2 linked regions of the Rattus norvegicus genome follow. The protein of the gene in region 1 interacts with the protein of each later gene in a pairwise test. Links are inferred from orthologs where the notes say so. Each region holds a gene or a part of one and is shown on either strand. Other genes may lie near its edges.

Evidence for each region. The genes of interacting proteins can lie anywhere in the genome.
Region 2: the proteins of Psme3 (region 1) and Prr13 interact in binary tests that used the Homo sapiens proteins (3 or more experiments, as listed by UniProt). The two-hybrid records come from large-scale screens. The link is inferred for Rattus norvegicus from reciprocal best matches to the Homo sapiens genes PSME3 and PRR13.

The regions. Positions count from the first base shown.
Region 1 is NC_086028.1:86,756,105-86,761,183, forward strand, and holds the start of Psme3 (proteasome activator complex subunit 3), read left to right. Parts: upstream 1-1,828; 5' UTR 1,829-2,028; coding exon 2,029-2,070; intron 2,071-2,765; coding exon 2,766-2,798; intron 2,799-2,906; coding exon 2,907-2,969; intron 2,970-3,192; coding exon 3,193-3,297; intron 3,298-5,079. UniProt on the Homo sapiens protein: Subunit of the 11S REG-gamma (also called PA28-gamma) proteasome regulator, a doughnut-shaped homoheptamer which associates with the proteasome. 11S REG-gamma activates the trypsin-like catalytic subunit of the proteasome but inhibits the chymotrypsin-like and postglutamyl-preferring (PGPH) subunits.
Region 2 is NC_086025.1:135,469,044-135,474,034, forward strand, and holds the start of Prr13 (proline-rich protein 13), read left to right. Parts: upstream 1-1,996; 5' UTR 1,997-2,061; intron 2,062-2,695; 5' UTR 2,696-2,715; coding exon 2,716-2,734; intron 2,735-3,074; coding exon 3,075-3,424; intron 3,425-4,980; coding exon 4,981-4,991. UniProt on the Homo sapiens protein: Negatively regulates TSP1 expression at the level of transcription. This down-regulation was shown to reduce taxane-induced apoptosis.

The sequences.
Region 1 (5,079 bases):
ATTGCTTTCTCAATACAGAGATGGGTCAGTGTTTGGAACATTTAGAGAAGGGAGGAGGAAAAGGTGTATCTTTCTTCTTACAGTGTGTATCTGAAGACAAAGCAAGTTCTTTTCTGAGAATGAAGCCATTATTTCAATAAGCACGAACACTAGTTTTGAAGGTAGAATTCTGAAAGACACACAGAAGAGTGGCCCACTGACAGTACAAGGAAGCTAATTTGGGAGAGAATTCTGATGTTAAGTATCTAGAGACTAGTGTTAACAGAAAGTAGTGTGAAGATGGCTCAGGGGTTAAGAGCACTGATTGCTCTTCCAGAGGTCCTAAGTTCGATTCCCAGCAATCACATGGTGGCTCACAACCATCTGGAATGAGGTCTGATGCCCTCTTCTGGTGTGTCTGAAGACAGCTAGAGTGTACTTATTTATAAGTGAGTAGAGGAGAAGGGTGGGAGGAGGGTATTTGCACTGGAATAAGTGGGAAGACTATCTTAGATCCCTGCTATTGTCTGCCTGCCATTTCTTTGCTCCCATTTGCATTTTGGTCACTTTATTTTCTGGTGTTTTTCCAGTGTGAAGCACCAGTGGCAACCAGAAACTTTAAGCAGATTGTTCACTTTCTGTACCCCAGAACTGTTGTTTTCCATAGAAGAGTCACTGGTTCTGCCGGCTATTGAGTACTACAGTGTATCACATTTTCTGTTTTTGGTTGTTTTGTGACAATTTATATATGGCCTTACTTTGAAGCTCAGGCATTTAAAACCATTATCATTTACTCTGGATGGGCTTACTTATTTTCTTATGTGTGCACAGAGGTCAGAGGGCAACTTGCAGGGATTGGCTGTCACACCATACGTGTCTAAGGATTGAATTAACGTCGGTCGGCTTAGAGGCGAGTGCCTTTAATACCCACTATGTCCACCTTTTAGCTCCTGGTAGCTCAAGCTTTCCTGAATATTTCCCATTTAGTTGGTTGATGCGGTGAATTGGAAATCCAGACACGAGGGGCTGACTGTATTGTAATATGTAAATTAACACTGGCTAAAGTTATTTTTTTAATGCGTCTGCTAGAAGACCTCACCCTACATACATGATGCGCACATTTCTAGTCTCTCCAGAAAACTGTTCTGGGGTCTAGCACATCCCCCTACTCCATTTTATTGCATGGAATAACCAATAGGAAAAGATACACCGAATAAACTGTTGAAAGAGGAGATTGCTGTCTCGGACTTCCAGTGGGAAAATGGTAACCACTTCCCCCTAGAACTGAAAACTTAAGTCTAATGAAGTCATTGAAAACAATGTGTTGTCTCTTAAGATAAGCCACTATCCTCTTTTGAGAGTGAATTTGCCCCTTAGATACTTGATATCTGAGGTCTGCACGTTTATGATAACTGTACCAGGAAAGCTCGGTGCAATGGAACTTGTCTTGTGTTTGAGACTAGTCGTCAGGAGTAAGGGATGGGTGGCGGGAATCAGTAGTCACAGCCCGGAACCTTAAACTAGGGACCCGGGCCGCGGGCTTCTCCAGCCGACGTCACTAGGGCGCGACGCCTACTCTTCCAGAAGCAGTGGCACGTGAGGTACCACGGTGAAGTCGAGTTCCGGGACAATAAGACACATCACTCTTGAGTCCCCGGGAGATTTGGGTCTCAGCATCCCTGTCCTAGGTTTGCCACCACAGGTCACAAGGCCTGGAGCTCCATTAGCCCCTCCGAGAACCTGTAGAGTTGAGCATCACAGCGGCTGCGCAGGGCACGTGCTCATCCTCCCCAGGAGTCCGGGCGATTGGCTGTGACGCAACTTCCGGCGTGAGCGGCGAAAGCCGGGAGGGCGAGCGAGAGAGCTACCCGGCAGCAGGCGGGCGGGTGGCCGGCCGGCACGGAGGGAGGGAACGAGCAAGCGGTGAGCAAGCCAGCGAGGGCGCCCGGGTCCCGAGGGCAGCGGAGATTCCTCAGGCCCCTCCGGTGCCCTCCCCGGAGCCCACAGCACCTCCGGCACCCAGCGGAGCGGACGCGGTCCAGCCCGGCCATGGCCTCGTTGCTGAAGGTGGATCAGGAAGTGAAGCTCAAGGTAGCGGCACAGCTCCGGCCTCCTCATCCCTCCTTTCGAACCCCCAGCAGTCGGATCTGCTCCCCACTCCCCATGTCGTCTTTGTCTCCCTGGGGACACCAGGTATGAGCTTCCGCCTGGCTCAACCCAGCCCCCCACGCCTGGAGACGGCATTGGAGAGGACGATATAGGGTGGCTTTCTGCCCTGCTTCTGGTGATGGAGTGCACCAGTGACTCCTCCTTGGACACGTGTTAGACTCAGTGCTTTAGGCTAGTGACAGGTGGAAATCCCGGGCCCAGGAACGTCCCCGCCCCCGACCCTGCCACTGACCCTGCCCTTGAGGCTGGCCTACTGCGTATGATAGGCCAGGTCTGGGGGGGAGTTGGCACGTTTGTGAGCTCACTTCTTCCAGTCTGGCTTTTGTCTGCCTATGAAATTGAGAGGGTTTCAGACAACACGGAGGGAGGGACCAAGGGGGGTGAGGGGTGGGTGGAAAGGGAGAGAAGGGGTAGAACTGACAGGTGCCGGCCTGCAACCCCAACATCTTCTCCCAAGATGGAGAAATGGATCCTCAAAAAAATGAAATATTTGCAGTCCGGGGGCCTCTCACCTTCTAATTATAATTTCAAGGTGAGGGCGAGACAGCTGGATTTGGGGTTCCCCATCCACACCCTTGTATCACTAGGTATTGAATTGCTCTCTTTGTTAATTCTAGGTTGATTCTTTCAGGGAGCGGATCACAAGTGAGGTGAGTGCTGGTTGTAAAAGAGAAAAGGGGCATTGGTTAATAGCTTGGGGTTTCCCAAAAAGATATCCATAGGGAGTTTATTAATTCAGGTGTATTTTCTCTGCCTAGGCAGAAGACTTGGTGGCAAATTTTTTCCCAAAGAAGTTATTAGAACTTGATAGTTTTTTGAAGGTGAGAGACGCTTTTATTTCTTTAAATTACTTCTTTGGTTCCTGTCTTTCTGACAGAGGGGGCAGACTGTGTGTTGATTCTGTTCCCTTGTGTACTGTAAAGGATTCGTTTGCTTTTACAAGAAATACTCCTATCCCCCGTCTCTCTCCTTTTCTTTTCTTTTCTTTCTTTTCTTTTTAAACTTAACACTAATACTGTTTTGGGGTGAATGCCTCTCTTTCAGGAACCAATTCTAAATATCCATGACCTAACTCAGATCCACTCAGACATGAATCTCCCAGTCCCTGACCCCATTCTCCTCACCAATAGCCACGATGGACTGGATGGTGTGAGTGTCTTGCATTTATGTTTGTGTTCTTAGTATTTTGTTTTTTGGTAAGCTTGGGGACGTACGGAGATGTGGGATTTGCCTGTGGGATCTGGGTTCTGTTTGAGGTGTGGTGACTCTAGCATACTATACTACTTTTTGGACCATTCGCTTCGTTTTGGGCGAGGTGAGTACGTTAGTGCTGCTCTAGTTCTTAACCCAGGTTTTAATTAGTTCGAAGCTGGCTGCAGGCTTCCCTCCACTACCTGGCTTTCCACACGCTTGGGAGCAAGACTGTTTTGTTCAGCATGCTGTCCTTATAGATGGCAGAACAGCTGTCCTTGCTGCCTAGCCGCAGTCCCAGTCCGCAGTCACTGTGCTTGCTGTGCTGAACTGTGCTTTACTGCACTTGCACTGTGCTTCTGAGACAGCATCTGATTATGGAGCCCCTGGCTAGCCTGCAACTCCTTATGCAGACTAGACTGAGTTGACCACAAACTCAACAAGATCTGCCTGCCCCTGCCACGTAAATGCTAGGAAGGAAGGTGCGAGCTGCCATGCCAGCCAGCACTGCTACTGTATTAGTTGCAAGTCTATATTGCATTATAACACCAGGGATACTATAGTTCCATCTAGATTCCTGTGGCTTGGTACTTTGTTGTTGTTGTTGTTGTTATTATTATTACTGTTTTTTTTTTTTTCTGTCCTAGAAGTCAAGCCCAGGGTCTTGTGTACCTATATAAATGCTGTACATCTGATTTATGTTCCTAGCTTTCAGAACTTTCTTAATTATAATTCATTAAGCGAGGGATGGTGGCTCAGCATTCAGCTTGCCTGGAGAACGAGAGTTGTGTGTTCAAGATCAGCCTGGGATACATAGTAAATTGAAGGCTGGCTGGGACACATACCGGGAGCGTTTTTTTCTTTTTTTTAAATAAGATTTTTTTATAAGTACACTGTAGCTGTCTTCAAACACACCAGAAGAGGGCATCAGATCCCATTACAGATGGTTGTGAGCCACCATGTGGTTGCTGGGATTTGAACTCTGGACTTCTGGAAGAGCAGTCAGTGCTGCTCTTAACCACTAAGCCATCTCTCCAGCCCAGAATCCTTTCTTCAAAATAAAACAAACTTGAAGTTAAGTCAGGGGACATCTCAGTAGTCTGCGTCCTTAGCTCCCAACATCACATATTCCTAGCGTAGAGAAGGTACTGCTCTGAGTTTGCTGAATGACAAGATTTATCTTAGAATCAAAACACTAGTGCACACTCCCTCAGTTATCTCCTACCTGCCTTTTTGCTTTCTTCTTTTTTTTCTTTCCTTTTTTCGGAGCTGGGGACCGAACCCAGGGCCTTGTGCTTGCTAGGCAAGCGCTCTACCACTGAGCTAAATCCCCAACCCCTTCTTATTTTTTAAATGGAATTTTCCCTGCTTTTCCACTACTTAAAAAAGTACTTTATTGTGTGGGTAGGGAGCTCTTTCCTTCTGCCATATTGGACCCAGAGATCAAACTTGGGTCATCAGACTTGGCAGCAAGTGCCTCTCCCTGCTGAGCCAACCTACTGACCACTTCGGCTGCTTTTTAAATGTGTTCTATTAGTGGTAACTTTGGCCTTCCCAACCAGAATGTAAGTTTCTTTTTGACGAGAACCCCTTTTAAAAACTTTATGTGTGTGTGCATTGAAATTCATATGATAGAGGGGTGGGGATTTAGCTCAGTGGTAGAGTGCTTGCCTAGCAAGCGCAAGGCCCTGGGTTCGGTCCCCAGCTCCAGAAACAACAACAACAACAACAACAAAAAAA
Region 2 (4,991 bases), on another chromosome or scaffold:
GTTTCTCTGTGTAGATCTGGCTATCCTGGAACTTGCTCTGTAGACCAGGCTGACCTCAAACTCACAGAGCTCTGCCTGTACCACTACCACCTAGCTACCTGCTGGGCCATCTTGCTTTCAGGAGAAACTTTACACTCTAGTTCTGCTCAGCTGGCTTGTGTTTTCCATGACAGTCCTTCTGCCCCCTATCCACAGGAGGGAACTAAAAGATTGCAGAAGTTCAGAATGTGTGTGAGGTGGCACAGCTTTTAAGTAACAGATGAAAGGGTTTTTACCATTAGATGTTGATGGGGGCTAGAGTGATGGCTTAGCAGTTAAGAGCAACCATTGCATTTCCAGAAGACCTAGATTTACTTTCCAGTACCCACAAGACAGCTCGTAACTATTTATAATTCCAGTCTCAGGGGAATCTGGTGCCCTCTTCTGACTCCTGAGGGTGCTGCATGCGCATGGTGCACAGGACATACACGTAGCCAAAACCCCCATAACACATAAGATAAAATATTTTAAAAGATATTTATGGGTTGGGCATATAGCTACATTGCAGACTCTTGGCTTCGCATGTTTTGAACTCCACCTGTTAGAACTAGATGTGCTGAAGCACGAGTTTGTAATCTTTACCTTAAAAAAAAAAAAAACTCTTTTGAGAGTTGTGGCTTGCTCTTGTTATTCTTGCACGGGAGAGAGGCAGATAAGGGATGACTGCCTTCCCTCCAAGGTCAACCTGAGTCATACAGGAAGACTCTGTCTCAAAACAACAAAACCAAAAGTGAAGTTATTCACCCGGAACAATGGCATGAGACTATAACCACGGCATCTGTTGGACACATTGAGACCCCCTCTCTTACCTATCTTTCTACAAAAGAGAACCACGGGGCTGGAGAGATGGCTCAGTGGTTAAGAGCACTGACTGCTCTTCCAGAGGTCCTGAGTTCAGATCCCAGCAACCACATGGTGGCTCACAACCATCTGTAATGAGAACTGATGCCCTCTTCTGGTGTGTCTGAAAACAGCTACAGTGTACTCATATATAATAAATAAATAAATCTTTAAAAAAAAAAAAAGAGAACCACGGGCTGTGGTTATAGAAGCTGGCAGCATTGAGACCTGGGGCTAGGACTTAGCAGCACTTCCTCCTTTTGTTCTCTGAGGTCTTGTTTTTTTGTTGTTTTTGTTTTTGGAAACAGAGGGTTCCTCTGTGTGGCTCTGGCTGTCCTGGAACTCACTATGTCGACCAGGTTGTCCTCAAACCCAGAGATTCACCTGCCTCAGCTCCTGAGTGCAGGGGTTAAAGACATATGCCACCAGCACAGGGCTCTCTGAGGTCTTATATCGGGTTGGCTGGCCTCAAATTCCCTAAGAAGCTAACATTGCCCTTGAATTCTGATTCTCCTCCTCCACTTCCCAAGTGCTAGGTTACAGACAAGGCTACCTTAAAACAAACAAACAAAACACCTAATGTACTCACTGACCTGTAACCGCAACGCAATGATAGGGACTGGAGAGATGTCTCAACAGTTAAAAAGCGTTTGCTTCTCATGCGAAGTGTTTGAGTTCAGTCCCCAGCATCCACATGGCTGCTCATCAGCAACTCTGACTCCAGGGGCTTTGAAGACCTCCGCTGTCATTCAGCAGGCACTTGGTGCACATACATTGGGGCAAATCACTCATACTCATTTAAAAAAAAAATCTTAAAATTTAAACGAACAAAAGAAACTGAGAGTTTATCTCGTTGGCTCGGGGTCTCTGCTTGGAGCTAGCCCTGCCCCGCTCCCGCCCTAAGGAGCACTTCCGCTGTGTCTGTTATTTCACCAGTTATGTATTTCACAACGCAAGGCTTTTTTTTCCAAAAGGCTCCGCCCGGCGTCTAGCGCAAACGTTTCCTCCTTGTTTGGACCACAGCGATTGACAAGTCAGTTCTCCAATCATCATGCCGAGTGACCACATAATTATCTAGGTCACCGGGGCGGTGCGGAAGCATAGAATGAATAGGGGTGACCAGGAAGTGTGTGATCCCAGACTGGGAAGGAGGACGGGAAGAGGACCAGCGATCTTGGGAAGGTGACAGGGCATCTGGCCTCCCAAATTCCCTTCTTTCCTCTTAGCTGGGCCAGGGATCCATTTATACCTGAGAACTAGGAACTCCCTTTGCCCTTTCTTTGGGGTGTGTGTGTTTTGTCCTTATCTTAGCGTTTTGGGTTCCTTTTTTTTTTTTTTTTTTTTTTTTCTCCACTGGGGCGAGCAGGGAGTTTAGGGTTTAGGTCCTATCTCTCACACTACGGATGCTTAAGGCCTCCGGTCCCTTTCTAGGGAGAGGGAAATGAGACGCCTACATCCAGGTGAGATAGTGAAAGTGGGAGGGGCCCCAGGAAGAGAGTTTCTGTGGTTTAGACCCTGCGCTAATGTAGGCTAGGAGGGCGCTGGAGAGAGGAAGGAAACTTTTTTTCTGTTTTGTTTTGGTTTTCAACACAGGGTAGCTCTGGCTGTCCTGTAACTCTCTTTAGACCAGGCTGGTCTCTAACTCAGAGATCCACTTGCCTCTGCCTCCAGAGTGCTGCCCATTTTAAAGTGGAGGTTGCGGTAGTTTTATCAGTGAGAGCCTTCGTAAGGCGGAGGCTGTAGGGTGGGGCTCGGGCTCTAGAAAATCCGCTTCCCTTCCTGGGAGCTTCAGATTTTTGTCTGTTTTACTTCGTAGGATTGAACTAACTTGTGGACATGTGGAATCCTAGTGCTGGTAAGTAACTGGGGGGCTCTCCTCTGACCCCGCCCCAGCCCATTTTGCAACGAAACGGGATTTTTCTGTATCCTGCAACCCCCAGCAAAAACAAAGTCACGGGACCACTGCTAGCTACCGAGTTCTGCCTTTCCGTAGGGCTTAAGAATGGTGGTGACTGGGTTGGGGATTTAGCTCAGTGGTAGAGCGCTTGCCTAGGAAGCGCAAGGCCCTGGGTTCGGTCCCCAGCTCCGAAAAAAAGAACAAAAAAAAAAAAAAAAAAAAGAATGGTGGTGACTTGTGTTACTCGTTGATAGAGGTTTGCACCGTTCTAATCTTTATTCTCCAATTCTTCCTCTAGGGCCAAATCCATATCCACCCCAAGTTGTGTGTCCAGGAGGTTCCAATCCTGCCTGCCCACCATCCCAAAATCCTGCCTTTCCTCCTGGCCCCTGTCCTCCCGGAATTCCTCAGGGAAACCCAGCTTTCCCTCCGTGTCGACCTCCTTATCCTGTACCGCAACCAGGGTGTCCAGGATACCAACCCTCAGGTCCCTACCCTCCCCCGTACCCACCAGCTGCTCCTGGCATGTGCCCCGTGAATCCTCCGGCTCCTGGCATGGTAGGCCCAGGAATAGTGATAGACAAGAAGACTAGGAAGAAAATGAAGAAAGCTCACAAGAAATCACACAAGCATCATAAGCACGGGAAGGTCAGTGTCCTCTGGAGCCTGGCTGGGGAAGGAGCTCCCTTCAGAGGGACCGGGGTGATCAGGAGTTGGGGATGGGCATTCTCGGTTTGTGGGGCGTGGGAGGAGGACGGCAATCCTGTCCTTTTGGCAGGTGGTTTTCCTTTACGTAAAGAGATCCTCCTTTAAGGAGTTTAGTAATATTGAGGCATTCGACCACTCCCATCTGCAAAGGAAAAGTGAAGTGGGGGCGGATATCAGAGCCAAAAGCCCTCTCCCTTCTCTCCCTCTATCCCTGTAACTCCCCGCCTTGACCCACCCTAGGTGTATCTTTTGGTAAGTTGGACACACCCATTAAGGTTGTCTAAATGTCAAAAGAGTTCTTTGACAAAGTGCAATGACGCATAATAGTTTGCGGGGTGGCGGTCTGACCCTAGTTCCTGGATTTCCTTTATCTCCTTCGGCGTTCTCAGGTGCTGAGTTAATTCCCTGGGTGGGTCTTCTGTGACTCAGCAGCCTTCTGCAAAGCCTGGGGTGAAAGGGCATTTTCCTTCACAAGACCTGTATCCCTTCCTTCCACAGGGACGCTAATTATTGTTAGTGAGGGAAGGAGTTTCCCTGAGGACTTGGGAAAAGCATCAGTCTAATCTTGAAGCTTTAGTTAGATTTTTATGCCAAATGTTTGCTTGTGGGTCTGGACTCTAGTTCCTGATTCTGGGTCTTAGGTAGAGATGTGGGGAGTGGGGAAGGAAAGGAGACACTGAATGAGGGAGAGAACCCTGAGAGCCTAAACTTTTTTTTTCTAAGATTTATTTATTTATTTCATGTATGTGAGTACACTGTGGCTATCTTCAGACACACCAGAAGAGGGCATCGGATCTGCATTACTGATGGTTGTGAGCCACCATGTGGCTGCTGGGATTTGAACTCAGGACCTCTGGAAGAGAGTAGTCAGTGCTCTTAACCGCTGAGCCGTCTCTCCAGCCCCAACACGAAACTCTTAAGGGCTAGGATTCTGGTAGCAGGTGTTTTTTTTACAGTAGCTGACGGAGGTATGTCTGTGTGGGGTTTCTCCAGCCATCTGTCTGTCTCTGCCATCTTCCCCACTTTTTCCCCTAGTGGGACTTGGAGGAAGTACAGCATCACACACACACACACACACACACACACACACACACACACACACACACACACACGGTGGCTGGCTGTTCCTACCCTCTCTGAGGTGCAGAGAGTCTCGTTTGTCATTCTTTAAGCTAATGAGTAGGGACTTACAAAGTTGCAGCTGCTTCCCGCATCCATGCTGTGTTTGTTCTTCATTCCTGGCCCTGGCTAGGTGTGGAAAGTATAAACTTGGTCAGAAGGCAATGTGTTCAGTTCTGTGCAATGACTGAGGACAATTTAATCCATTCTTGTATGTTCACTGCTGAAGGAAACCCTTGATTTTGTTGGTTATGGGACAGGACGGTATGAGACTCCTGACTACTGGATACTTGGGTGGATGGGTGGGGCACCAAAGAATGGACCTTGGAGTGACCAGAGGCCATCTGGATCTGATGATGTGTCCTTTCCCCTTGCAGCACTCCTCCTC